2 linked regions of the Caenorhabditis elegans genome follow. The protein of the gene in region 1 purifies or fractionates together with the protein of each later gene. This does not show direct contact. Each region holds a gene or a part of one and is shown on either strand. Other genes may lie near its edges.

Region 1 (5,189 bases):
TGAACCTAGTACAAAAATGAACCGAAACACTTTCCAACGGTAATTTTAGGGGTTCAGAGCTGAATTCTGTCCCTGAAATTTTTGTGGTGACCTAGTCTTAACATAGGCCTTAAACAGGCCTCATCTGGAAATTGGATTTTCAGGCTTAAAAATTATGGAAAGGTTTAAACGAGAGGCTCTGAAAATTGACTTTTTATTTTGTCAATTTTTTATTATTTAAATTTTCAAAATAGGAAAAAGAACATGCAAAAAACATATATTGCTGAAAAAGTAGTAAAGCTCTGTCCTGATAAATTGCAGAAATCGTAATTACAGCAACACGCTTTAACATCAACATCACCAAGCTTTTCCTTTTGACAGCTCACTCCGTTGGTCTGAAACTTATTATATTTTTTGTAGACCTCTCAGCAGTTTTGAAAACGCTTTTGGCTTGAATTTTTACTAAAGTTAGCTAAGATCAAATGAGCAAAATTACTTAACCAACGCTGAACACATTTGAAAACTCAAAATAATATGTGCTATTAAAAACTTACATCACAATTTGTAATAGACACTGTCGGATCGGGACACGTTCCATTGAACACTGTGAAATAAGATGCTTGCTCAGAAAGCGTCAAACAATAAAGGCCATTGCAGGTGATAGCTGTCTGAAATTTCATTGTTATAGTTATGATTGAAAGGTTGGAGCCCGTTTCAGTTTTCTGGTGGCACTTGTTTCAGTTTAAGCCTTGTTCAAGCCGGGGACCAAGGCCTATAATCCAGTCCTCTAATGCTCCACTTCCAGATTAAGGCTGGATAGATTTAGGGGAGCTTGAACTTGTGATTTATGAATTGGTAGAGGTCCCTCTCAAAATTGAATAAAAAGAGTAATGAAGTAAACGTTTTTTTCAACAATTGCACTGACCAACAACAACTCAATTTAGTTAATACATTTTTTATAGTAATATAAATGTTCAAAATTAATTATTTTTTCAAACAACTTTTCATTTTCCTTACCTTACCGACTGTATGCGTCTTGCCTTCATAATCCATTTGTGAAAATGCCCAGCACTGTATCGAAGCTACCGGTATAATAAAGGTAATAAAAATCGATATAAATAAGAAATAAGTAGGCATCATAAAATTCAAAAGTGTGCAACTGTTGCTTTATCAGTGAAAAGCATTGGAAACTGTGCTTTCGTCATGTGAAATGCAAATTTTCAGGTTTTGTGATTTATTTTCAACTAGTACTTACTTATCAAATTGCGCACATTTGTATGAAATTGCATGCCATAATTGTTGATTTTCTGTCAAATATTTTTAAATTGGAATTTTAAGTTCAGTTTGAACTGCAAAACTAATTTCTGAATGTGTTCATTGCGCCGTAAACATTCAAACTATTTATGCAACTCGTTAACTTACCAAGTGCACTGACACCACTTTGCACTGACCATTGACCATTTTGCATTGACCAATTTGCATTGGCCATTTTGCACTGACCAATTTGCACTGACCAATTTGCATTGGCCATTTTGCACTAACTAATTTGCACTAAACAACTTGACATTTTTTTTGTTGTTGAGCACATGTAATTTTTTGATAAAACGGCCTGAAAAAATCTTGAAGTCACACTATCATCGGGTGATTCCGAGCTGTTCCCAATTCTCAAGTTTACAACTCCCGAAAACTTCACAAGTCACTAATCACACATCACTAGGTTCCTCCGAGGTCAAACTTTTCCCGTTGGAAAAGAGACAATTGAAGAGTGAGAGGTTGCATGACGTCATAGACAAACGTCCAAGTGTCTGTGACCTCTCATTTGCATGTACTGTCTTGTCGGGGAAGGTATATATTGATCATCTAGCGTTTGAAACAGCGCACCAGTGTCTCTGTAGTTTGGGCAACGAGCAGTCGGTAATTATGAGTGCTTTGCTGGGAGGACGAATTGCTGTGGTTACCGGTGAGTTGTTTTATTTGCAAAAAATTATTTTGAAAAAAAAATTGCAAACACCTAATTTAATATATTTTTCAAGTTTAAAATAGAAGGAAAAAAAAATTTTTTGGAAAAAAAATTAGCAAAAATTAAAAAAAATTGTAGTGATTTTGAGAATTAAAAATAAAAAAATTGAGCAAATATCGTTTCGTGAGTTAAATAAAAGAAGTAAAATATGAGTTGACATTGAAGTTGGTCAGTGCATTTCACACGTTTAGTCAGTGCATTTGGTCCGTAAAAAGCAAAAAACATACCAAGTGCACTGACCACCTGACTAGATCAAACCGAAACCCCCAGAAATTACTCTCACAAAAAACCTGCTCACTTCCAGCTTTTTGCAACATGAAACGTACTCGAAAGTCACATTTTTTCTGTAGTCCTGAGAAAAAACGTTAATAAAAAATGTTTTTATTCTCATAATCCAAGAAAAAATGAATGTTAAAGTGTGGGAAATAGAATACGGTAGCTTACGCTATATGTATATTTATAGCGTTTTTCAGAACTCACAATGTAAAAAGAGCAAAAACCAAAAAGAGCCAATTTTCAGGTGGTGCATCCGGCATCGGCAAGGCCATCTCGCAGACGTTGGCCAAGCATGGAGCTCGTGTCGTAGTTGCCGATTTGGATTCCGGCAACGCTGCAGCCACTGCAAAGGCTCTTCCAGCTAGCCAGAGCCATTCCTCGTTTGCCTGTGACGTGTCAAATGCAGACAGTGTGAAGGGGCTCAGTGAGCATGTAAAATCGCTGGGAACACCGTCGATTTTGGTAAATTGTGCAGGGATCACAAAGGTTCGGTTTTTTTACAAATTCATCCTAAATCGTACACCTACAGTAATCCTTTGTTACTAAAAAGGTGCTGTTGGAGTCAAAATATGTGTCTAGCGAACTAAAGAAACAAAAATTTTTTTAAAGGATTCTACACTTCTAAAAATGAAGCAGGAGCAATGGGACAGTGTCATTAAGGTCAACCTTACCGGAGTCTTCCATGTGAGTTTTTTTTTCTGAAAATTGAGGCGAAAAAGTTTTCCGATACAGTGTGATCCTAGATTATTTTTTAAAAGTGATTGAAACACTGTCAGAATAAAGATAACAAAATCAAAGAGGTAATAATATTTTATACCCTTTTTACAGTTTTTTTTTTTAAATTTTGACTTGCGACTACCGATCGTGACGGCGCACAACTTTAGACTCTCCCCCAAATTTTACCATTGGTTGTCAGATAAGAAAGCTTGCTCAGCATGAAAAAAAAACTATAAAACAAAAATTTAATATCTACTTGAAAGTTACTAATTTTTACATCAGTTCCAAAATGTTTTAAATACAATTTCAGGTATCCCAAGCATTTGTCAAAGCATCAGTTGACAACAACAACCACCCATTATCAATTATCAATGTTTCATCAATTGTCGGCAAAATGGGAAATTTCGGCCAAACCAACTACGCAGCCACCAAGGCCGGAGTCATCGGGTTCACAAAATCTGCAGCGAAAGAGTTGGCGAAAAAGGTGAGTAGTTTCTGATTTTGCGGCAAATCTCAAATAGAAATATAATATAAAATTTATACGAAAATATAGTGAAAAATATCTAAATCTACCGGCCCATACTTTTTTGTGCACACCTCTGTTGCACTATGTTTTAAAATAGACAAAGCAATAAAAAAGAGATTTCGTTGACGAATTGAAACTAAAGTTTTGTTTCCCAAAAAAGTATCACGTCGAAAACAATAAAATGCACTAGACTTTCCTATGTTCAAATATGTTCAAATATGTTCAAACTGTTACGAAAAATTATTTTTTGGTGCACTACGTATGTTTTAAAATGAGCTTTGTTATATTCTGCTAAAAAATTTTTATTGAGAATTTCATTAGTGATTAGGTCTTAAAAATTAACATGTACTGCCAGAAAAATGTCAAAACTGGAAAACTGCATAGTTTTTTTTCTTTTCGATGCACCATGTTGCAAAATGAATTTTGCATGATTACTGAGGCCTGAACTTAATAGTTCAATTCCGCTTTGAACTTTGGAGAACTATGTATTCACGACGTTAAAAAGCATTCGATGCACCATGTTTTGAAAGGAATTTTGCATGCCTGGTACTGGCTGTACATAGAAAACATTTCAAATGTAGCTATCATTATTGGAAAATTAATTTAAACGTTTTTTTTTAAATATTCAGTAGATATACCAAAAAAAAATTAAAATCTCGATGCACCATGTTCGGGGGAATCGCCTTTTGACCACTACCATCTTACTGAAATTTTTTCCAGAACGTACGTGTGAACGCAGTGCTCCCAGGCTTCATCAAGACCCCAATGACAGAGGCAATGCCACCGACTGTGTTGGCCGAAATCTGTAAGGGAATTCCAATGGGCCGGATGGGTGAAGCCGAGGAAATCGCCAACTCCGTCTTGTACCTTGCCTCTGATCTCTCCTCATATGTGACTGGTGCCACTTTGGAAGTTACCGGTGGATTTAGTATGTAGATTAAATTTAGACTTTTTACTTTGACGGTTTATATCGTGGATTTTAAAACTTCTGGAGATTTTTATTTAATTAATGTATACTTTTGAAAGTCTATGAAAAAATCTGAAACTATGCCCTCAAAGTAAGCAGGTAGCTTGGTTTAGAATCTTTGTTGATATTGTGATTAACTTTGTTTCATGAAATGAATATTTGTTTTAAATCGGGATATCTTTATTAGTGATCAAATATACATTATAATTAAAAAATGAAATAAATGTTATTCAAATTATTGCACGAAGGTTTAACAAAACTGTTTTGTATAATTGTTCAATTGAAAACTTTCACGTTTTGTTAACAAAATTTGAGTATAAGGTTATTGATAAATAGGAAAACTCTAAACTAAATGTTAATGAACCCAGCAAATTACATTTTTGTCAGTGCAAACATTTTTTGGTCAGTGCAAACATTTTTTGTTTAGTGCAAACATTTTTTTGCTAAATGTTTCTTAGTCACTGCCCGAAGTGAAATATTTTAATTTTGAAAAAAAACTCAAGTAACTTATTCAAAAATGTCTAGAAACATTAATCGGAGAATACTCATCAGGCTTATTCACAAAATCCAAACTAATGTCACAAATTTCAATAGGAGCCGACTCGTCAATGTCTTCCTCGCGGGAGTGTGAAGTGTTGATTCGAAGTTGAGTGGAACGTGTTGGTACCGTGATTCTGAATTTATTACTTGGAAACTGTATAATT
Region 2 (7,652 bases), on another chromosome or scaffold:
ATGTAATTTGTTAATTTGTTAGACGCTCAGAAAACTAATCTTTATCCACTCTCATACCAGTTTTCGAACAGCTTAAAAAATATTTTCTTTAGACTATCTTGTCTGGATTTGTTTTAGTGTAAGTCAAAATAAAAATTATTATATTTTTATTATTATTAAAAATAATCAATTATTAAATTGTACATGTAATAGTTGTAGATTGAGAAGTTAGATATATGACCCATAAATTCACAAGTGAAGTATATATATATATATATATATATATGTTATGAAAGCCAACTTGGAGAGGCAAACACGGTGACCATAGCTCCATCGGATCCCCACGCGGGGCTCAGAGCATATGGAGAAAGCACGACAGCAGTCACATACTGAGGAGAGAGGATTGTCGGGGACAAGACGAATGGGGACAGAACTAGGGGACTCAACGCCAGTGGGTTCAGAATAATTGGTCCGAGACAGAACGGAGTCAAGATCAGTGGAGTCAGTACTTGTGGGGAGAGAATGAATGGGGCGAAGATGAGCGGGGAAAGTACGAATGGATTCATGGATCCTGGGCACAGGATGAATGGGTTAAAGGCTAGAGGTGATAGAATGATCGGAACCAGCAGGAACGGATTCACAGCTACTGGTGATAGAAGACGCGGGGAAAGAATGACAGGTACCAATAGCCATGGGGAAAGGATCATTACTCCGTAGACAGCTGGAGAGAGGATCAGTGATGACAGCATGACAGGAGACAGGATTGCCGGTTGGGAGACAGCCTGCAATATGGGAGATTTTTTGTTGGAAAATTTTGAATAAATTTTCCAGATTTTCAAGTAAGAGCGTTCGATTTTTGAGAAAATTGAGACAGAGCCACTGATAATGGCAATATTACACTATTCAAAATTTTTCTATGAATAACAGTAATTTTGGTGCTCCAAAAAATATTTAAAAATCAAAATTTTCCGAGTTTGCGAAGAACGGCAAATTTGCCGAATTTGCCGAGTTTGCCGAGCTCTGCAAATTTTCAGATAGCCCTGATCGGCACATTACGAAACTAAGATAGTCTTCGAGCAATTTTTCAAAACTTTCACTGAAAAGTAAAATTCTTTTCAGAATATACAAACATGTTTCTATATATTAAACAAAATTCGTTCCATCTGAAAATAACATTTATATTTGTTGAAAAATCTCTTAAAAAGCCTCAAGTTGTGCCAGAAAGTTGCCGTTTGCTGAAAAAAATGCCGTTAAAAGTATTTCGGCAAACGATAACTTCCAGGGACTATTTGAAAATTTTTTCAAACTTTTCAACAAACATAAATATTATTTTCAGATAGAACAAACATTTTTCTACACTTCTATACCTATTTTAGATTTAAAAAATTGGATTATCATATTGAAAATATTGAAGCCGTTTTGTATGTTTGCTGCACAGTCAGCAATTGTCGACCGGCACAGCAATTGTCGACCGGCAATTCTACAAAATGAGACGGTTGGCCAGGCTCCCCATAAATTTTTCATTGAAATTTAATGATAGAATATAAAAAATATTTGCTTCATTTAAAAATTACTGTTAGTTTAGTAGAAAGATCTTCAAAAATAGTCTGAATGTTGAAAATTTCCGGTGAAAATTGCCGAAAAATTGACGGCAATTTTCCACATTCAGACTATTTTTGAACACTTTCTCGCTATTTAAAAGTCTAGTGAAAATTATTTTCAAGTAAAGCAAATATTTTTTATATTGTATCTTTAATGAAAAAAAAATAAAAAATTTAATGAAAAATATTGTTGGAACATGCCCAACCGTCTAATTTTGTAGAACTGCCGGTCTGCAATTGTCATGCACCCCTGCGCACAGGCCAGTTAACTCACCACTGGATCCAAAATGAAGTTACTAAATGTGATCGGTGATAAAATAATATCATTTCTCTTTGCCTCAAATTTGACTTTCTCATGTGCCAAGTCCTTGATTGTTCCCATAATAGCTCTATCGATTTGTGGTCTGCTCATTGATTTTGCCAATTTCAAGAACTTCTCATTTTCCCCCACTGATCCCTTCCCGTAGATCAAATCCATCTGATCATGTCTCATAATAGTATAGCCTGTTCTGTTCATCTCCTTGAGCTGCTCATCGGTATAAGTTTTATCCAAAGACTCGAACATTTCGATTTTCCTCGCCTCATGCGGATATTTTTCTGTTACATTTTCTTTTGTGAAGTACAACGGTTGACCTTCAGGCCCTCTTCCCATCGCATCGTCTTTGAGTCTTCGATACTCTCCGATTTTTCTTTCAACCCGTTCCATCGCTTCATTGACACCAGTTGCTTCCACAATAAAATCCAAGAAATCCTGAGAGTCTTTGTTATCGGTGAGAGATCCTAGGATGTTTCCGAGTGATGCTTTCTTTTCTACTCCAGAGCCATCCTCGTGTAGAGCAAATAGTGAAGGAGAGAGGAGATCAATCTGTAAATTTCGAACATTGTGTCCGGCAAATATGCCGAATTTGCCAAACTGACCGAGCTCGGCAAATTTCGTGATTTGCCGCCCCTGGAATCGGCAACTTCGGAAATTTCCGGTTTTGGAAACTCTCGGCAATTGTCGGTTTTAGAAATTTTCGGCAATCCGCAATTTTGGAAATTGTCGGTTTTGGAAATTTCCCGGCAATCGGCAATTTCGGAAATTGCCGGTTTTGAAAATTTCCGGCAATCGGCAATTTCAGAAACTGCCGGTTTTGGGCATTTTTTTCGAGATTTGCTGGTTTTGGAAATTTTTGTTTTCTATCGAGATTTGCTTGTTTTCGAAATTTCCTGCAATCGGCAATTTTGGAAATTGCCGGTTTTGGAATTTTTCGGCAATCGACAATTTCGGCAATAGCCGGTTTTGAAAATTTTTGGCAATTGCCCGTTGCCGAAATTGTTATGGTTCGGCAAACTTGAAAATTGCCGGTTTTGGAATTTTTCGGCAAGCGGCAATTTTGGCCACTACCGGTCGCCAAAATTGATTTGGCCGACCGAAACTTTTGAAATTCGGCTAGTCCGAAAATTGCCGGGTGCCGAAATCGTTAGGGTTCGGCAACTTCGGCAAATTTGCCAAATTTGCCGCACACGCCTGTCCCTTACCTCATTATTCTTTGCAGCTTCTTCTTGTGGAATCACACTCATAAGACGTGGACTGATAATTCTGACAATTTTCCGATCGAAATCTGTTGTATTGTGACCCGACATTTCCAATCCCATCTTGGCGGCTGTTTTTTATTTATTATAATTAGAAGGTTTCGTTTTGTAAAAATATATCTTTTGGCCAAATTAAAAATTTTCACATTACTAACCATCTCTCATCATTTTCATCGGAATCATCATCAACTTTTCCTGTTCCGTCATTTTATTCTTCCTATTCCTCAACACCTCCTTAATCTGATCATTGTCTATAAATTGCTCCAAATCGTTGAACTCCTTTAAACTATCATCCTTCGCAATCTTCTTATTCTGCTTCATCTTTTCAGCTGCATCTGCATAAATCGACATTCTCTTTTGCATAAAATCCTCCATTTTCTTTTGCTCTTTGATTTCTTCGGCTTTCTTGGTGATTCGTTCGATAGTATCTTGCCACTTTGACACCTTGTCCGTCTTTTTGAGAAGTTTCACAGCGCTAGAGAGATGTCTCGTTACCAGGCCGAATGGTGTCCTAGAACAGATTACGGTTTATACATATTTTATGGCAGCAAACAAATTGTTTAAATCGGCAAATCGGCAAATTGTCGGAATTGAAAACTTCCGGCAAATTGGCAAATTAAAAAATTGCCGGAATTGAAAACTTCCGAAAAACCGGCAAACCGGCAAATTGTCGATTCGCCGAGTTTGTCGGACAATGGCAATTGCCGAAAACTGTCGACAAATAGTGGATTGTGGTTTTGTACTTTTTTGGAAATTTCAGAATTTCAAATTTTGTCGACAAAATGGTACGCATTCGATGAATGTTCCTACATCTGTTTTGAAAAAAATAAGCAAATTCTATAAAAATATCTAAAGAAAACGGGAAAAATTTCAAAAAGGCACAATTTTAAGTGTTTCCGTCTTATAAAAATTATCTTTAAAAACGTCTGGCAATTTGGCAAACCGGCAAACCGGCGATTCGGCAAATCGATAAATTGCCGGAATTGAGAATTTCTGACAAATCAGCAAATAGCCGAAAATCAAAATTTCCGACAAATCGGCAATTTGCCGAAAATCAAAATTTCCGGAAAATCAGCAACCCGGAAATTTGCCGAAAATTAAAATTTCCTGCAAATTGGCAAATCGGTAATTTGCCGAAAATGAAAGTTTCCGGAAAATCGATAATTCGCCGAAAACCGGCAATCCGATTTGCCAATTTTTTTTGTCAATAAACAATTTTTGCCGCCAACACTCAACCACTTACATTTCTTTTTCGGCTTTTAAAGTATAGCTATCTCTGGTGTGCACTCTAATTTCTCGTTTTGCCCGAAACTTGAATGACCCAATCCATTCTTTATCTTCCCGAATCTCTTTTTCAGTTATTGGAGTCATTGTAGTGTTGGTAACCATCTTATCGATTCGGCGACGCATCTCTGGAATATGTTCAGTACAGTGGGGATCAGGGCTGAACGGCTAGCTGATTTTTTTTTTTGGCTGTCAGCTCGTACAGCAAGCCGACTAATTGGGCAAAATTTGGGCAAAATTGGGAAAATTTCTTCAGAAATTCTCAAGTCAACTAGAAATGTTTACCTTTTAAACTACGTAAAATTAAAATGCTCACTTCTGCTGAAGAGCTTTCTCCTATGAACCAATCGATTTCTATGTGCGTCGTCTTCTAGCTTGAGCAAGCAACTTGCGTGCTCCGAAAGAGTTTCAGCCTCGGATGAGCATTTCTCATGGCTCTTTTTTTGGTAGTCTTCAACAAGGGCTAGTCTGAAATATTAATATATTTAACAAATTTAACAAATTGCTCGTGGCATTAAATGCGTATTTTCTTAAATGTTAAGTAACGAAATTTGAGAAATTGCCATTTTTAGATCTAACATGGTCCAAAACTACCAAATTTTGTAATGAGACGTTCTGAAAATTTATTTTTTAAAAAGTTATGGCCGCTCAAAGTTTAGGCAAAAATGGTCAATTTCTAGCTAAAATCTCAAATTTCGGCAACTTTTCAGAGTGCGCGGCAATTGCCAGCCGGCAATTCTACAAAATGAGATGGTTGGACATGTTCCCACAATATTTTTCATTAAATTTTCATGATATAATATAGACAAATATTTACTTTATTTGAAGATAACTTTTATTTGACTTGGAACAACCGAGAAAGTGTTCAAAAATTGTCCGAATATTGAAAATTACCGGTGAAAATTGCCGCCACTTTTTCGGCAATTTTAACCGGCAATTGTCAACATTCAGACTATTTTTGGAGATTTTTCTACTAAAATAACAGTTATTTTCAAATAAAGCAAATATTTTTCTATATTGTATCATTAAATTTTAATGAAAAATTTATGGGGAACATGCCCAACTGTCTCATTTTGTAGAATTGCCGGTCGAAAATTGCCGCGAAAAGTTGCCAAAATTTGAGATTTTAGCTAAAAAAAAAGATCATTTTTTCCAAAACTTTGAGCGGCCATAACTTTTTTTTGAAAAATTTTCAGAACGTCTCATCACAAAATTCGGTAGCTTTAGACCATTTTAGGTCTAAAATAACAAAGTCTGATCTCACCTTCTTGTAGCAATCGCTGCGACAACTCCGGAAAATCCTTGAACCGCCCAATGCTCCAAGAGCTCTTCTCCAGACTCTGTCGACATGGGAACATTGAAAACTTTGTCTTTATAATGTGGAGATTTCAAGATTTCTTTTTGCGTCAACCCATATTTTGTCACATCTACTTCCGATTTAACTTTTAAGCAGGTGCATGGATACGGTAGAAGTGTTAGAAATAAAATAATAGGGAATAGGATCATAATGTGGTAAACCAGAGACCAGAGAAAAGGGATTCCCTGTGATTTTATGGATTTCTGGATGTAAAGAGGGCGGAGTTTTCGGATTCATCCCGAAAGTTTTTCCAAAACGTGGTTATCACTTGCTGGGCGGTGCCTTCCCGTGACGAGGAGAGAAGATGTTCTCAAAGGATGGGAGATGATCCCGTTGAACCAAGATCTATAGCATAACAGGTGGCCACATTTTGATCCTGATTTTCACGATTTTGATGATAAAGATTGAAGTGTGTATGTGTGTGTTCATATCACGTGGAATGCGCATTGTTTCAATGATGCTAGTTTGAAGGGGGGGGGGGCGGTCAAAAAGGATTCAAGTTTTGGTTTTTATCTTTGAAAATGCGAAAAACTATTTGTTCCCTGTATGTGTGTTTGACAACTTCTCAGGTTCTTCGGATTTGGAAGGATTAGAAGTTTTATACGGTAATTCAGTTTTCTCGAGTGATATCCAATAGGATCCCTATATTTGATTACGATTTATGCACACAGTGTACCGGTAAACTAGGCTGGGCGGCAAACTACAAACGATTTTTTCCGGCAAATCGGCAAATCGGCAAATTGCAGAAATTTAGCATTTTGACAAATCGGCAACTTGCCGGAATTTAAATTTTGGGCAAACCTGCAAATCGGCAAATTGCCGGAATTAAAAATTTTTTGGCAAATCGTCGGAATTGAAACTTCCGGCAAATCGGCAAACCGGTAAATCGTTGGAATTGAAATTTTTGTTGGCAATCCGGTAATTTGCCGATTTGCCGAATTTGCCGGAAAAACGGAGATTTTCGAAAATTTTCGCCGAATTGTGGTTTTTCAATTTTTTTAAGCTTTAGAATTTCAATTTTAATCGGCAAAAATGTACGCATTCTATGAATGTTCCAGCATCTTTTTCGAAAATAAGCAAATTCTATGAAAATATTTAGAAAAAACGGGAAAAAATTTCAAAAAGGCACAGTTTCAAGTGTTTCTGTCTTCTAAAAACTCCCTCTAAAAATTTCCGGCAAATTGATGTTTGGCAAACGGCAAACCGGCAAATCGGTAAATTTCCGGCAATTCGGAAAATCGGCAAACTGCCGAAAATGAAAATTTCCGGAAAATCGACAAACCGGAAACTTGCCGAAAATTAAAATTTCCGGCAAATTGGCAAATCGGTAATTTGCCGAAAATGAAAGTTTCCGGCAAATCGATAATTAGCCGAAAATGAACGTTTCCGGCAAATCAGCAAGTTGCAGAAAATCAAAATTTCCGGCAAATCGGCAAATTGCAGGAATTGAGAATATCCGATAAATCGGCAAATCGACAAATTGCCAAAAATAAAAGTTTCCGGCAAATCGGCAATTTGCCAATTTGCCGAATTTGTCGACAAAAAATTTGCCGAACGGCAATTGAACAATCAATGACTTACATTTCTTTTTCGGCTTTTAAAGTATAGCTGTCTCTTGTGTGCACTTTAATTTCTCATGAATGTTCCTACATCTATTTTGAAAAGTAAGCAAATTCTATGAAAATATCTACAGAAAACGGAAAAAAAAATTCAAAATGCACAGTCTTAAGTGTTTCCGTCCTTTAAAAAATCCGCCTAAAACCTTCCGCCAAATTTTGAGCCGGCAACGGCAAATCGGCAAATCGCCGAAAATGAAAACTTCCGGCAAATCGGCAAACCGAAAATTTGCCGATTTG

What was found. The genes of interacting proteins can lie anywhere in the genome.
Region 2: the proteins of dhs-25 (region 1) and mltn-1 fractionate together in Caenorhabditis elegans (co-fractionation; one large-scale study listed by BioGRID). This does not show direct contact.

The regions. Positions count from the first base shown.
Region 1 is NC_003284.9:1,484,676-1,489,864, forward strand, and holds dhs-25 ((3R)-3-hydroxyacyl-CoA dehydrogenase), read left to right. Parts: upstream 1-1,856; 5' UTR 1,857-1,899; coding exon 1,900-1,939; intron 1,940-2,519; coding exon 2,520-2,761; intron 2,762-2,884; coding exon 2,885-2,959; intron 2,960-3,302; coding exon 3,303-3,476; intron 3,477-3,641; exon of another isoform or gene 3,642-3,662; intron 3,663-4,238; coding exon 4,239-4,454; 3' UTR 4,455-4,651; downstream 4,652-5,189. Other genes in the region: D1005.4 (Activin_recp domain-containing protein), read right to left, coding at 225-374, 534-647, 997-1,116; D1005.10 (C-type lectin domain-containing protein), read right to left, coding at 1,231-1,286, 1,402-1,510; F09E10.5 (Globin family profile domain-containing protein), read right to left, coding at 4,997-5,159.
Region 2 is NC_003280.10:13,139,213-13,146,864, forward strand, and holds mltn-1 (MLt-TeN (mlt-10) related), read right to left. Parts: upstream 6,014-7,652; 5' UTR 5,946-6,013; coding exon 5,704-5,945; intron 4,908-5,703; coding exon 4,756-4,907; intron 4,568-4,755; coding exon 4,399-4,567; intron 3,667-4,398; coding exon 3,311-3,666; intron 3,227-3,310; coding exon 3,102-3,226; intron 2,446-3,101; coding exon 1,855-2,445; intron 762-1,854; coding exon 267-761; 3' UTR 132-266; downstream 1-131.